Drosophila melanogaster: one gene and its partners. The protein of the gene in region 2 interacts with the protein of the main gene of each other region in a pairwise test. Each region holds a gene or a part of one and is shown on either strand. Other genes may lie near its edges.

Region 1 (5,119 bases), on a different chromosome or scaffold from region 2:
CAGATTTCATTGACAGACGCAGCACGAGTTTGTTTCTTTTTGTTGCACGCCCACTCTAACGCCCACAAGCCGCCCAAAACAGTCACGCCCACAAGTTTCTTTTCTGGTGTTGCCAGACCCACAGTTTTTTTTTTAATTTTATCATATGTCTTTCCGATTTCTATCGGTAACAATTATGCCCACCCAAATGCCCGAAAACCGCCAAAAATGTTATATATATTTTAAAAATGTAACGTCACAAAAGTTAATATGAAGACGTGTTTATATTTTTTAATAATTACACATGAATTTGTATTGAAATGAGCTATAAAACTGTGTATAGTCTTACTTACCGGTTCATTTAGCGAAACAAGGTCTGCTTTAGTGTTTTCGGCCGATAAATCAGATGCAATGGATGTTGGGTCATTGACATTCTAAAAATAAAGTACACTTTAAAGATCTAATCGAAATTGATAATGTATGATTTGCACGAAGCTGTAAGTAAACTTTTGTAAGCTGCGTATTAAAATAATGAAGTGCAGCTGAATGAATGTTCCAAAATTTTAAACCAAATCATACAATAATTAATAAATCAATTATAATATTAAACATATGCAATTAAACAACACAGTTCAAAGAGTCGTAGGCTTTTGCCTTATGTTTGACAAAATTTACTCTGCAGAACTGCAGAAGCTTAAATAATTATTTGCTTGTGCTCAAATATAAGCGTTATACCTAGATTAATACCCATGCAGAGTCAGAGTTTTTCGTATATATCTGAGTAGTTCCCCTATCCGTATCCGGTTCCGAAAAGCACATAGTTATAAAGCTTGACTATTTCCAACATTATTTTTTAAAACGCACTTTAAAACAAGAGAGAATGCTATAGTCGAGTTCGCCGACTATCAGATACCCGTTACTCAACTAGTGTGAATGCGAAGCCGAAATTTTATAATTATTATTGGATATCAATAGATATTGGGGAATAAAATGAGAAAAAAAATTTAACATTGTTTAAAAATGTGGGCGCGTCCGTTTTGATAGTTTTGTAGGTGAAAAAATGGGCGGACAACAGTGTTTTTGGTATACAGACAAAAATTGTATGCTTAATCTCAACCTTCTAGCTTTTTTAGTTCCTGAGATGTCAACTTTCATACAGGTGGACACTTCCAGATCGACTCGGCTATCGATCCAGATCAAGAATATATATACTTTATATGGTTGGAAACGCTTCCTTCTGACTGTTACATATTGATCAAAGATCTAGTATACCCTTTTACTTCACGAGTAACCGGTTTAGAATATGCAAAAGTGTGGGGATGACAGTTTCCGCGGTTGATGAACGTTGGAGTATGAGGGCCAATCTTTTAAAACCAACTTGCAGAAATGTCACTGGTATCAGAATGCTGAAAGTGCATATTCATATTCATATATATCTTGAAGTTTAAATGGACAAACAGGCGGAAATGGCGACAACAATTCTAAAAGAGATCCTAATCCATTCCGCCTTTTATCTGATTTTGAAGATTACGAGTAATCAGGACATTAATTCCTTAAACTTGTTAGAATTTCTTTAAAAATATAAAAACGTTTCAACAATATTTTTTTTTTACCTAAATCATGTTTTAAATATTATTGACTTAGATCCAAGTACCTGGACTAAGTTACTAAGTTACAAATACACATTTAGACTTTATGAAGTAAAAAATAAATGTAGCCTTTGCAGGGTATATGGTAAGTTAGGGCAACATTTGCTTTACTTTTTCTTTATAAATATTATGTTAAATAAAAAACATTTTTGAAGCTTGAAGGCGATAATTTAGGTCTGTTATTCTTAAAAATACAAATACTTTTTCCGACGAAGATTTAGTGGTATCCTGTGATTTGCAATTTTCGATAGCTTTATCATCTTCGCCTTTAATTAGAATGTTCGACGTGTCTTGAACAGGTGATTCGTTTTCCGCATTCGATGAATTTTCACCATTAGTACTCCCATCTATTAAGTCCAACTCGAAATTATTCTCAGAAACGGTGGACAAATTTTCCACAGATATTAATGGGTCCGTTTTAATAGATGCATCTATAATAATAGGGTTATTGGATTCGGAGTCTTCTATCTCAACAGTTCTCTCCATATCCGATGAGCTAATATCTAAAGACGGCTTGTCAATTAGTGCAGCTGGGTTTACTTCCAAATCTGTTGTATTTTTTTTCTCTGAATTACAGTCTTCAGATTCGCTTTCTTCAATTTTTAGATCGTCATCATCTTTATTATCTCTTGAAGTGACGGGTTTATCAAAACCACTGTCAATATAAGATACCAAGAGTTTTTCATTGAGATTATCATTATCTTGGGGAGTAGTTTTAATCTCATCAGCGTAATCTATTTGGGTTTCATTTTTTGTAGCAATTTCTTTCTCCTTTAGATTGTAGAAAATATGAGTTTGTAAAGTTTATTTCTATCTATTTATTAAATGGTAATATTACTATTATTTACATTAAAAATGATGGCAAAAAACGTAAACGGTATATTTAGTTAATAATTACAATAATTTATTTAAATAAATGTATTACCATTTTCTCTCTGAGAAAATTGTCAAAAGTAAATGTATAACAATGTAAAAGATGTAAAAAATCTTGTAAAAAATCTAAGCACTTTGAATTTTTTATAGGTGAATATTATATTTATATTAATTAATTAAATATTGTTTTTTGACTTACCTCAATATTTAAAGTAGAATCCATATCTAAAAGCTGTACAAATCTATAAAATAATAATAAAATGTAGAGAAAGGAATTTATATTTGTATCGTCTCAACAGGTAGGCAGGTCCTGCATTATTATTATTACATAAGGGTGTAATTTATAATAAAGCACATGCAACACACTCAGTTATAAAATATCGCATTTTATGCTGAATGTAAATACATATAGAGACACTCAAATAATGTTCGTTGGTGCTGTTATTATGTAATACATAGTGAGAAGCATATACAACATGAATGTTAATTTCTCTTCGACCACACTAACTTTTCTTTTTTTTAATATCCATAATAATAATTTACACGTACATATATCAAATATATCTTTTCACTTGCCTATTTCCCAATGTTATTTGTTTAAAAAAATATTTACTGCAAACAATACTGTAGTATCGAATTATTGAAAGATAATAATACAACTAAAATCCGTATAGGCCAATAGAATGAACATGAATTCATGCGCCTGCCTTTAAGAATATGATTGCACATCAAAGATAGCTTCCACACTGTCCACATGCTTATTTACTTGATTATCGGCTCGTTCGCATACAGCAATTTGGGAAATGTGTATTTAAAAGTCACACACAAATACATTTATTTTCACAAATACAAAAATATTTTCTCGTAAATTTATACGTATGTATACAGCATCTTTGTTCGGCAAACAAGCGCATCGATGAGAGCCCCTTTTATTGGAACGGAGTACTTTATTTACTATTTTTATAGTTATAAGTCGCAGTGTCTTATATGCACTTACATACATACCTTGTTTTTAAAACTTAAATTTACGAATGAGTAAAGTGCGAACCATCTTTAAGTTAACATCGCCCAAATTTGATTATATTCAAAGTAATATCTCGAGAAAATACTGTAACATGAATATACATATATCCATTGATGTTCGATATTTCTTTATAGATAGTAATATTCTCTTTTAGAGATGTTATATTAAGTACACCCAAAATCAAACCACTTTCAGAGGAAACTAATGACGATAACACGAACTTGAAGATACAATAGAAGAAAGAACACGCTCCCTACCTGTTACTTCTTACAATTGGATATAACCTTTCACAGTACGACTAAAAAATATAAATATATTACAAACAATTGTATACACGTTTGAATTTGAACCCTAATATTCATTCGTTGAAAACTAGAATGGCGGAGGGAAGAACTGCTGACCCATAAAGAATATACTTCGAATATTCGAGCAGAATCGCAAGCCAAGTTGATCTAGCAATGTACGTCCATTTTAATTTCGTGATCTTTAAAATTTTAAAAGCTAGAAAGCTAATTTTAGATACGTATGTTCTTAAAAGTCCGATCTTATGCCAATTTGGAACTCGTACACGTTTAAAAACTGTTATTCTTTTAGTCAATTTAGTTAATTGCTTGGACACAACAAAGCGCAAAAATCTGTTAGACCCAAACCTTCAAAAAAGGTACTAGAGTATCATTTGTAACGGACGCAAATACCAAGGTTGTTCAAAAATTTACAACATTTTGTTGTGTAATTGTTTATTTACCATAGTTTTCAAAAACACTGTCCTTCTTCTATCAACACAAAAGCTGACTTTGATGTATTAATATAACTATTATCCGGATTGCAAACACTATTGCGAATAATCTTATTTACATTCGCCTTTAAAATTCGAAAATTTACTTCTCCATAATCTAGATTGCTGTATAGAAAAATTGGTAGTCGGTTACTTATAAGCCATACATTTTGATCTTTTTCTTTGTCTACTTTTAAATCATTTGGAAATTGAATAAGATTTGAGTTTTCCATATTATGAAATTTTCCCAAATGTGCTCGAGTGTATGGTTTCGATGTATCCCAGCATCCAATATCATCTTGATGAACTTGTGTAAAAAACATAATGCCATTCCTTGTAACTCCTGATGTAGATGATTGAGAATTATATCCGCGGTCTCCAATTGGTATGAAGTACTTGGCGTACTCTTGAGTATTCGTTTGCCACACAGATTCGTTTAACAAGATATTCATAGGCACCATGAACTCCTAAATGAGAAAGTATTATAATCACAATTATTATTATTATTATATCAGTTACTCGTAGAGTATAAGGGATTGCTAGTTTGGTTAATAAAAATAAAACAGAAATAAGCCTTTTCGGACCCTACAAGCTGCAGATAATTAGCTTACTTAAGATTTAGATTTATTTAAGTACCTTAAGTAAGACTGATCAAGTAGTAAGCTGTAGGAGGGGTTTTTAAAAGTAAGTCGGCGAGCCATTATTTAGACAATAAAGACAATGTTAAGAAAGGCATTTTTTAAAATCAATATCAAATCAATTCCCAGCCATTTTCTTGTCTTTATTTATATACTCCTTATACTCACCTTGAAACTTGCC
Region 2 (5,805 bases):
GAAAAGTCGAAAAAGTGCAATACCAAGTCCTGAAATTAAAAGTGTTTTTAAAAAGTGAATTTCAAGTTCATAAAAAATTATTCAGTTGCCATAGCTAAGAGAGAAATTCCAAGAAGTCAAACAAAATGGTAAGTCCTTTATCCTTCAAATCCCTTTCCCTGCTGAAATTGTACGAAAATCAGAAAATCAAACTTAAATCGTAGTTTGTTGAACTGTTTCGAAAATTGGCAACTGCTTTTCACCAATTTTCCAAGCTATTTGTTCGCATAATATTTACGCAAATGGCAGTTCGCAGCTTTTAGTTTTTGCTTTGACTTTGCTATTGGCCTTAACCTGTTGCGAAAGTTGGCTGCCAGCTTGGCAGTTTATGCTTTTTGGCCATTGCAAAACATTTTTCAAATACCTTGATGTGGCACCAAGGGGAAAAGATTTAACAACATTGCATGGGGATCGTAAAAAAGTTATTACCTTTAATGCAAGCTCAAGTGTTTTATTTATTTCGAGTTTTCACCTGAAGTTATATAATTAAATTTATGAGTTCAATTCATATCGTGTTAGGAGAAACAATGACAGAATCATTTTCTTTGTTTAACATTTTAATGGAGAAAGTAAGGTCAGTGTGTTAGTCACTAATTAACTTCCTGAGTAACAAAGACACGACTGATCTGCTGACAAATGGCAGGCAATTGAGAGAAATCTGTAACGAACCTGAAAGTAGGCAATACTTTCTCGAAACAAAAAGTATCTCAAAGTGTTTCGGTTAACTATAATCCAAAACTAGAGAAAGTCGCGGTTCTTTTTTTCAAATGAATTTGCGGGAAAATCCCGGCTGGTAAGACCCGCAGATCTTGAAAGCAAATTCGTCAGCATCCAGATTCAACCAGCTATCAGTTATCAATTGGTATATTAACGTATCAGTGACAATGCCCGTATCGCCCAAATATTTTTTATTGTCGGCTCCAGAGTATATTGTGGAATAAATTTGTTTTTTATTTGCCAAACGATCCCATTAGATCGCCGTTAACCTCTTGTCTCAAATTCAGGCACATCTGTTGAGCCCCTCCTGGCAACATTCGATCTATCATCATCTACTGAGAAATACGTGTATTATATAGCCGAGGGTATTGGTAAAATCTGCTATTGATAAGTTGGATGGACGGTTATCGCCGGCGACTTCTTGTTTTTGTTATTGTTTTGGACTTGCGCCTCCGATTTACGTCGGATCCGAGCTGATTATGCAGCCTGGACAGGAGAGCGAAATCTCCAGAATTCAGTTCGAATTTTGCGATCCGAGGTGGAGCGTGTGCGGTTAGTCGAAGCAATTCAATCAATTGTAACAGCAACGAATCGGAATATTCATATATATATATACCAATAGCTATTATCAGCGATCATCGACTTTACAACGTAATTCATCTAAATCAATTGAGCAGTGATCTTTATAGACTTTATAGGTAGTTTTCCACGCCCTTCAGCCTCAACTGATGCACCACCACTCTAACTTCCGCTTCCCTTTTCGCAACCTAGGTCAATCAGAGCAAGCCCAAAATGGCCCTGTCCAAGATCGACACCGAGATCGAGCAGGTTGACCAGGAGAAGTACCTGCGTCAGGCCACTAGCTACTATCAGCCGCTGGAGAAACCCCTGAAATACGGACCGGAGGTGAATTCCCTATCGGACTTGGTGGCCGCCCTTCACCGGGAATTCGAGTCGAACTATGTTAACATCGAGATGGTGAATCACCTTATGCTCAGCTACAAGTCCAATCCGCGGGAGTGGCGCAAATATGCCAAGTTCGATCGTTACACCTACACGCGGAATCTCGTGGATGCTGGCAATGGAAAGTTCAATCTGCTGATTCTGTGCTGGGGCGAAGGACACGGCTCCTCGGTGCACGACCATGCCGATTCCCATTGCTTCATGAAGATGCTGAAGGGTGATCTGCGCGAGAAGCGCTACGAGTATCCCAATAGATCTGCCAGGGACAACGGCCGGTCCCATCATCCCGATGGCGAGATCGATAGCCGAGAGCTGGTGGAGATTGGGGAGACACCAATCGCCGTCAATGATGTGGCCTACATAAATGGTGAGAAAATTAGAAACTTTAAAAGTGGGGTATTCCTATACTTACTGTTTTTTTTTTTTTCGTTTTGTTATCCATAGACAATCTGGGTCTGCATCGCGTGGAGAACCCCAGCCATTCGGATACCTCTGTCTCCCTTCACCTATACTGTCCACCCTTCGACACGTGCTCCGTGTTCCAGGACAACCTGAAGAAGACCACCGCCAAGGTCACCTTCTGGAGCAAATACGGCGTGAGGACGAAGCAGAACGAGCAGTAGATCCATCAAGATCCTAAAAATATAGCCTCTCGTATTGTTGCATAATACTAAGAATCTTTATTACTAGATATTTAATGAGCTAGGGCCTAAGAAGATCCGGGAGCTGAGCTATCAAACATGGCGAGCAAGGGCCACGTTGGCGCTGATAAGTTCCCATTCCAATCCATTGGCTATCCCGGATCACAGCAGCGATTAGTGTACTTTAAGTGTTAGCTGTACCAAAAATATTCAATAAATAAGTGAACCATTGACAACTGCTTGAATGTGCTTTTTTAAATGTCACCAGATCCTGAATTGCATCCCGGTTAGACATCCATGTTGCGTGATCTTTTCGGCGGACCCCTGTCCAGTGTTTGCTTGATCGACTTGAGCAGACCAGGTATCAGGTTTATGTACTTGTCCACACAGTTGTTCGTGCAACTCTCAAACATGTGCTGGGATCGGGACATGTCCCGGTCACTCGGATTGCTGGGCATCTGAGACCGCGCATCGCTGTTGCAATCCTGCGGGTTGGCAATCGTATTAAAAATAGGATATATCAATCCAATATTAAGCATTTATAATTATAGTTTAAGCTCCTACCCTAACGCAGTTTTGAAGTCTATTCTGGAATTGGCCCAGCTCGTGCTGCAGGAAATCCTGGGCATCCATCAGGGGACCGGCGCACTTCTCGATGCAGTTCTGTACGCTCTCCAGCGTCCCTCGATCATCGTCGCAGCAGCGGGCGGCACAGCGGTGCATCGTGGACTTGGAAACAACGTTCTTACCAGAAATTCATAGTAGGCAAGTGGAGGCCACACACTCACCTGCATTCTGCGCAAGTGGGTGCGGTACATGTCCTCGATCATTTCGCTAATGGCGCCCTCCAAGCGCTTTTTTTGTTGCTCCACCATTTCAATTTAAAATTTGAACAATTTCGAAAGAACAAAACAAAATGTTGAATTGACAGTTTTCGGTGTACAAAGTATGTTTATTTTTTTTACTGATGGCAAAACTTGACATTCTTCCGAAGATTGTTAGCACAACAGTTGTTGGTTGCTGCTTAAGACTTTCAACAATTAATAAGGTAATTTTTGTTCTATATTCTTAAAAGCAAAATTTGAAATGACTCCAGAGATGGGACTCATTGCACGGTTTTAAAATAAACGAATTCAACAACTAATTATGTAGTAAATGCAGGTTGAGTTAGACTTGGGGAATGCTCTCGGGTCCCTTGGAGAGCACAGCCTTCATGGTCTTCATCATGCCGGGAATGAGGCCCACATGCTTGTCCACACACTGGATGGCACAGCGCTCGAATTGGTCGGTGTACTTGGCTATCTGATCCTCATTGGGACTGGGCGGCATTTTCACCTTCACATCGTCGTTGCATTGCTGCGGAAGAGGAGAATGTGAAATATGAGCGTTGCCTAATAATATTCTATTATTCTTAGAGCCACCAGGGCAAAAAGTTGGTGCAATGGATACTAACCATGACGCAACGTTGAAGTCTGCCCTGGAACTCGCCCAATTCGTGTTGAACGTAGTTCTGTGCCCTCGTCATGGGCGCGGAGCATCGATCCACACATCTCTGGACACTGTCCACGCTGGAGGTTCCATCCTGGCAGCACTTGGCCGCACACAAGTGCATCTCATTCTGGAATTTCGTGAAAAGCAAGTCAGTTTCGGGATATCCCCTAAAGCGAACTCCACTTACCTGCATTTTGCGCAGGTGCGTCTTGTCCATGTCGTCGATCATCTCCGTTACCGCGGCCTCGATTTTCTGGCGCTGTTGCTGGATCATTTTGCTTGTTTAATTGTTAATTACCTACGTCTTACAACCGATTTCGTAATATCAAAATAAATGCCGGCAGCGTGTTTTTTGTAATATTCGATTAGTGATGAGCCGACGCAGCTGCTAATAATCGATTAGCAGTCTATCGGTGCCGCTCTTCTTCTTTGGTTTTCCACTTGGTTTTGGTTTTCTTGTGGATATTTTTGAGCAATATTAAATTAAAACCATGTCGCTCTTGCAAAAACTAAGCAGATCTGGTGTACCGATGGCTTCATTAACCTGTCGTTCCCGAATGCCAATGGTCATTCGACTTATCAGCGGTAACACAGAAAAACCGGCGGAGGAATCTACTCCCGCAGTGAATACGGAAACGGCGGAGATTGGCAGCAGCAAGGGAGGATTCGCCCGTGCCTTCGACAAGTACACGGCACCAGCCACGCCTCCACAGCTGCCGGAAGACAACCAGACCTTCGCCTCCCTGCTGCGCAACTCCAAATTAATTGATGTGGGTACATTATTTAAGTAATCCCATTGTTTATGTAATAACTTGTTGATTTCTGGAGCAGCTGGACAACGCCGAGGGCAAGGTGGTCAGTGGCAAGATCTTTCATGTGGTGGGCGATGATCTCTACATAGACTTTGGTTGGAAGTTTCACTGCGTCTGCAGTCGTCCAACACGCAATGCCAGGTGAGTTCAATATAATTTCCTGTCTCTTTATCCAATAAACCGCCTTTCCTACTTCAGCGACTATGTGCGAGGAGCCCGTGTTCGACTGCGCATCAAGGACTTGGAGTTGTCCACCAAGTTTCTGGGTTCGTCCAAGGATATTACCATTCTAGAGGCAGATTGCCATTTGCTGGGTCTCCTGTCCACGCCCACCCGCCAGTCGACGGCCAAAACAACGCCGAAAATCGAAGATATCCTATAAATCCTTTATTAAAACCAAGGTTTGTTAAACGTTACGTCAAGTCTTCATCCTCCTTGGTTGTGAACTGGAACACTTCGTAGTGATGGTTGAGTTCCCGCACCGAATGCAGTTGGAATCTCGTGGCTAGAGCTCCGTTTTCAGAGTTCTTAACGAAAAATACTCTTTTCGCCCTGCTATGTACCAGGGCCATGGAGCACATAAGGCAGGGTTCCTGCAGCAGATAGATATCGTAGCCGGTGCACAGATAGGGTCCGAATTTGGCCAGGTTATCTGCTCCTTGAACTGCGTCCACTTCTTTGCATTCTCTCGACTTTTCCGCTCCGAATGTCAGGTCTTTGTAGTCTTCATTGTTCATCAGGTAATCGTAGTAGGCTTTAGGAATACCCCGCAGAGTGGTATCCTTCTTGAAATCTTCGGTGAATGTAACCTCCGTTTTTGTGGCGCCTCCTTCTTGACTGCGAGCCACAAAATCGACGAGCATCATGCAGCAGTGCTCGTGCGGCCTACAAACTTCACCAGTTCCAGCAATGGACACAATGCTGGGTTGTCGCGGATCCACGCAGATGCCCACCGGACGATTGGCATTGACATCCCGCGAGAGCCTCACAAGCAATTGCCCGATCCTTTTGTGAAATGTGCGTTGTGCGGAGCTAAAGTTGCTGCCATTCCTCAGTGACTCCGAGTAGTGATTAGGGTGAAACTTGCAGGGCCAGTGCTTAAGGGTCTTCTCGTACTGCACCCGCAGTCGGGGCATCCGTTC
Region 3 (4,640 bases), on a different chromosome or scaffold from region 2:
GTTAGTTGTTGCAAAAGTACAAAGTGTAACTTTCTAGCTAAATATACAATATTTTTTAGGTGGTTCAATTACTTTTATTGAAAAGATTGAATGTAAATCAAGCCAATGCTCTGGCTTCCTTTATAAGCGGTTCGTCGTTTGCTCTTCTATCAAATCGTCTCACATTCATGTGTTTTGCAATTGTAACTGCCATCCAGGTGATTTGGAGCCAGGTGTGCAATACTAAAGATGAAAAGGATTCGGTTCTATCTGCAGTGCGAAAGATTCCCTGGGCTAGACTGCTGATACCCTGTAGTCTGGCATACCTGGTGCACATTTTCTTCTACCACCAAAGGCATCTCAATGAGATGGCCCGGAGTTTCATAGACTGCACGTGTGATAACAAGTTAGTAAGCCTTATGTTAATATATATAATTATTAATTATTTAATTGCAGTGGCCAACGATTGTTGAATCTGATAGGTCTTCCCAGTGTCAATGCGATACTACAAGCTGTGGATAGGACACCTAAAACTTCCTTTTTGTTTTAATTATATTGATATATAAAAATCATAAACATTTTCAGAATGAAATTATATGTGACCGTTAATCATGAAATCATTTGCCAACCATATAACGTTTTAAACAATGCGCATAAATTATTTTTAGCCAATCAGAAACGTGTTTTGAATATGGCAAACTTATCAGCTAATGGCGATATCCGTGACTAGTGATGGAGTAGAGAATGGAGATGTCTCCAAAATAATAATGTATACCTTTAAAAGAATGAGTTTATTAAATCTTTACAAAATTGGAATCAAGATTACGCATCATTAGCCAGCCAAATGTCCGATGTGCAATCACCGCCAGGATAACGCATTTCGTGGGGCAAACTAGGACCATAGGGTTCATTGGCGAAGTCCACCAAAAAGTCCTCATTGAGGGAAATTCCTCCATTCACAGTGTCCACATCAATCAGGACAATATGACCGCCCTGCGAAACCATTTTTGGATAGAACTAAAGAGATTGGGAGTTAATTATATTTAAAAAAATATATATATAGAGTGATCCTGGTTAAGATCTTACCTGCTTATCCCATGGCGAATACAGAGATGAGGAGACATACAAGCGCTTGCCATCGAGGGATAGCTGCAGCATTTGGGGACCTCCTTCCAAGCGACGTCCCTTCACGTAACGAGCTGGAGGTCTCTCCTGAAAATGAAGAAAAGGCCTGGTTATAGTACGAGTTATATAGCAATATCGCATCTGTGTACCTTCAGTTCTTTATCCTCCTTAACAATCACATTTGGCAAATCACTGCATATCGCACCGCCAAGGAAAAGCTGACCAGTCAGCTTCGGATTCTCGGGATCGGTGATATCATATTGTCTCACATCGCCATGTCGCCAACAGTTGACATATAGAAATCGGTCGTCCAAAGAGATGATAATGTCCGAAATCATGCCACCCATATCTTCAGCTACTCCACTGCCGGTATCGACCAGTTTGCCGGGTATGTCTATTACCTTCTTGGCTTCAAATTCATCGGAATCTGATTTCTTCTTAAAGTGGAACACCTTGGCATTGAGGGCACATCCCACGAATCCCTCTGCCTTCTTAGGATTGTGCAGAAATCGAATCTCCAGGGGCGTTATGCCATCCGATCCCAGGTCGATGGTCTGGTAGAGAGTCTGCGTGGACCATTTGTAGAAGTTGAGACGACAGCCGTACTGAGACATATCCTCCAGGTCAACATTCTTCCAGCCTCTGAAAAAAAGGTTGACAAATATTATGATAAACTATGTATTTAGTGGTTATATCGAGACTAACCGTCGCCATTTATTGGGAGCTCCCCATTCCGAAGAAACCATGACATCGAAATATGGCTGATACCAGAAATCGTATCCGCACAATGCCTTCTTATCGCCCTTGGTCCAAGTACCGATGCAATTGAAGTCCGAATCGAAGAGGATAAAGTCACCCTTGGCATATCCCTCTGCATCGCCCATCACGGATATCATGATGTTCCCATTGGCCAAACAGTGTGTGGTATGCGGAGCCGTCACATTGTGGCTCTTCAAGACATCACCATCAATGGTCTTGACAATCTCGGGCTTTCGCGGATCCGTAACCACATCGAGTATGTATATAAAGTCGGAATTTAGGGACGGTAATACCAGCCTATCTCTTTTTGGCACCGTCTTAGAGCTCTCGTCGACATAGTAACAACTGGAGCAGGCGTTCCAGCCAGAATGATGCAGTTCATCACCCTTGCGATTTGTAAACGTACGGTGCACTATCTGCAAAATGATGTTAATAATGATGTAAATATGGAATCTGTAATACAAATATCCGAATTGGAAATATACATATATTCGAAAGTGATTGCTATAAATCCATTGATATAAAATCCAATTGAGCTAATTATTAAGTACATAGTATTGTTTGTCCCGCAAGATAAATGATCGAATAGTGTAGATACCTGATTTATTTACCTGACAGTAGGTGGGGCTCTCGGGATCCACGTCGACTGTGGACAGATAATCGCCGTGCGGCTCATCCAAGTTGGGCTGAACGGTGACCGTGTAGAGGAGCTTCTCCCGGGGACCACTCCTCATGGCGTCCAGGGGGGTTGCGTAACCCGGTCCTCGGCAACAGGCTTGGGAATAACAATTCAATTATCAAAATTGCTCGGGATTGTCTTTATCAAAGATTCAGGGCATGTGTTTGCAGTACAATGTGTACATATACGTCTCTTGTTTTTCTTACTTTTATTGGACATTGCTTGGCGGTTGTTGTGGGTCGAAGAACAGCGGCAAACTGAATATCAAACGATGTTGAGCGGGAGCTTTATATATTGGGGCTCTCTCGGAGATACTTATCTTTATACTCTCTTAAAGCATTTACTAAAGAGAACCGGTTCGGCCGGCTTTCTTATCACTAATACAGGTAAGGTCAGGTCAGTAATGTGTATAGATTAGGTTTAGCTCGTTTTCGTGGACTTATTGAACATGAGGAACATATGTATAATAATAAAAAACCAAAACAAACAACGCCCCTAGAGATAAGGCTATATAATTTATTTACTTAAATTAAGCTCATTTCTATTTTAGACATTTTCTCTTGTCTTCGTTATTTATTTTTAATTAGTATATTATATTTAATTATACGTATTCAATACAAGAAAATAAGTAAACAAGTAAATAACTTGTAGGGGAATATCTGAACAATCTGTCATGTAATAACAATGATTGCTTTAGAAATTTAAGTAAAGTGTGGGTAATAGTGGTATTAAAGGCACTTATTACAAAAGCTATTTTCAAACAGTTTCAGTTTAACCGCAATTTGAAGGCGTCCCAGAGCTGCAAAGAAACGAAATCGATTTTTCTTGCCAAAAGAGAGAGTTGGGGCAACACAACACATATCGATATTCGTTTTTTTCTGGCTTATGCGATGACTGTAAATGATCTTCTAGACTTTTATGGAAATCTTAAATGTGTCATTTGCTTGTACAAGAATCAAAACAAGCTTATAAAATCCACGCGCTCTCTGCAACATAATTTATATTGAACATAAATGGAATACCTTCCAAAATAAAAAGTATATTTTCCTGAGCCGGACAGTATTAGTTCTTAACAGTTGAACGGTCACACTACGTGTCAGGAAACATTTTAGCGCGTTAAAAGTCAGCGAAAACGATTTTTATCCTCGTGGCGGCTGACTAGTCCAAAGTTGAAGAGCTCTATCGAATTAAGGATAACCTGATCCTGGACAGTGTGCAGTCATGTCGCATCACTACGTGGTGACGGCGCAAAAGCCGACGGCCGTTGTTGCCTGCCTAACAGGTAAGAACAAGAGAGCGTGTGAAAGAGAGGGGCTCCCTATGCGGTCTCCCCCGGCGAAAACAGAAAACAAGCATGTTTGCCGGTCGCCGGATTACACAAGCCCATGAAACAGATTTGTTTGCTTAGCACCGGCTTCTTTGGTATGCTCCTCAGGCAACTTCACCTCGCCCACGGATCTCAATTTGATCATTGCCCGGAACAATCAGGTGGAAATCGATCTGGTCACGCCGGAGGGACTGCGCCCCCTAAAAGAGATCAACATAAATGGCACCATTGCCGTGATGCGCCACTTCCGACCGCCCGACAGCAACAAGGATTTGCTCTTCATACTGACGCGTCGTTACAACGTCATGATCCTCGAGGCCCGTATGGTCAACGACGTCATCACGGTGGTGACCAAGGCCAATGGTAATGTTTCCGACTCGGTGGGCATCCCCTCCGAAGGAGGAGTTATTGCGGCCATCGATCCCAAGGCTAGGGTCATCGGAATGTGCCTTTACCAGGGGCTGTTCACCATCATTCCGATGGACAAGGATGCTAGCGAGCTGAAAGCCACAAATCTTAGGTAATTCCGGTGAATTCTATAGTAGTTTGACAAATACGTGTGAGCATGACATCGGCGCCTTATCATGTTTTACCCTGTTTTGTATTTTTAATGAATCATTTTCATTTTTTCATTCACTACTAGTTACTAGTAAGTAACTAGTAAATGTTTTATGATTGAAGCTGTATTAAGCTCCAAAATAATGTATCCCTTCACCCTTCAGAATGGATGAGCTAAACGTGTACGATGTTGAGTTTCTGCACGGCTGCTTG

The links.
Region 1: the proteins of CG5327 (region 2) and CG1674 interact in a two-hybrid assay, tested with the Drosophila melanogaster proteins (one large-scale study listed by BioGRID).
Region 3: the proteins of CG5327 (region 2) and CG7966 interact in a two-hybrid assay, tested with the Drosophila melanogaster proteins (one large-scale study listed by BioGRID).

What each region holds. Positions count from the first base shown.
Region 1 is NC_004353.4:229,559-234,677, reverse strand, and holds the start of CG1674 (uncharacterized protein), read right to left. Parts: upstream 3,253-5,119; 5' UTR 3,078-3,252; exon of another isoform or gene 3,051-3,077; intron 2,829-3,050; exon of another isoform or gene 2,744-2,828; 5' UTR 2,725-2,743; coding exon 2,701-2,724; intron 2,400-2,700; coding exon of another isoform or gene 1,830-2,399; intron 414-1,829; coding exon 333-413; intron 1-332. Other genes in the region: yellow-h, read right to left, coding at 4,279-4,767, 5,107-5,119.
Region 2 is NT_033778.4:18,613,481-18,619,285, reverse strand, and holds CG5327 (uncharacterized protein), read right to left. Parts: upstream 3,299-5,805; 5' UTR 3,236-3,298; coding exon 3,149-3,235; intron 3,090-3,148; coding exon 2,925-3,089; intron 2,846-2,924; coding exon 2,648-2,845; 3' UTR 2,343-2,647; coding exon of another isoform or gene 2,164-2,342; 3' UTR 2,132-2,163; intron 2,087-2,131; coding exon of another isoform or gene 1,549-2,086; 3' UTR 969-1,548; downstream 1-968. Other genes in the region: CG5493 (uncharacterized protein), read left to right, coding at 1,549-2,086, 2,164-2,342; CG5323 (uncharacterized protein), read right to left, coding at 3,528-3,716, 3,814-3,978, 4,039-4,125; mRpS28 (mitochondrial ribosomal protein S28), read left to right, coding at 4,343-4,621, 4,683-4,804, 4,862-5,045; CG10927 (uncharacterized protein), read right to left, coding at 5,077-5,805.
Region 3 is NT_033777.3:13,048,646-13,053,285, forward strand, and holds CG7966 (uncharacterized protein), read right to left. Parts: upstream 2,809-4,640; 5' UTR 2,762-2,808; coding exon 2,749-2,761; intron 2,639-2,748; coding exon 2,475-2,638; intron 2,280-2,474; coding exon 1,810-2,279; intron 1,747-1,809; coding exon 1,254-1,746; intron 1,192-1,253; coding exon 1,066-1,191; intron 997-1,065; coding exon 802-996; 3' UTR 753-801; downstream 1-752. Other genes in the region: CG31157 (uncharacterized protein), read left to right, coding at 60-385, 436-529; pic (piccolo), read left to right, coding at 3,764-3,824, 3,978-4,389, 4,592-4,640.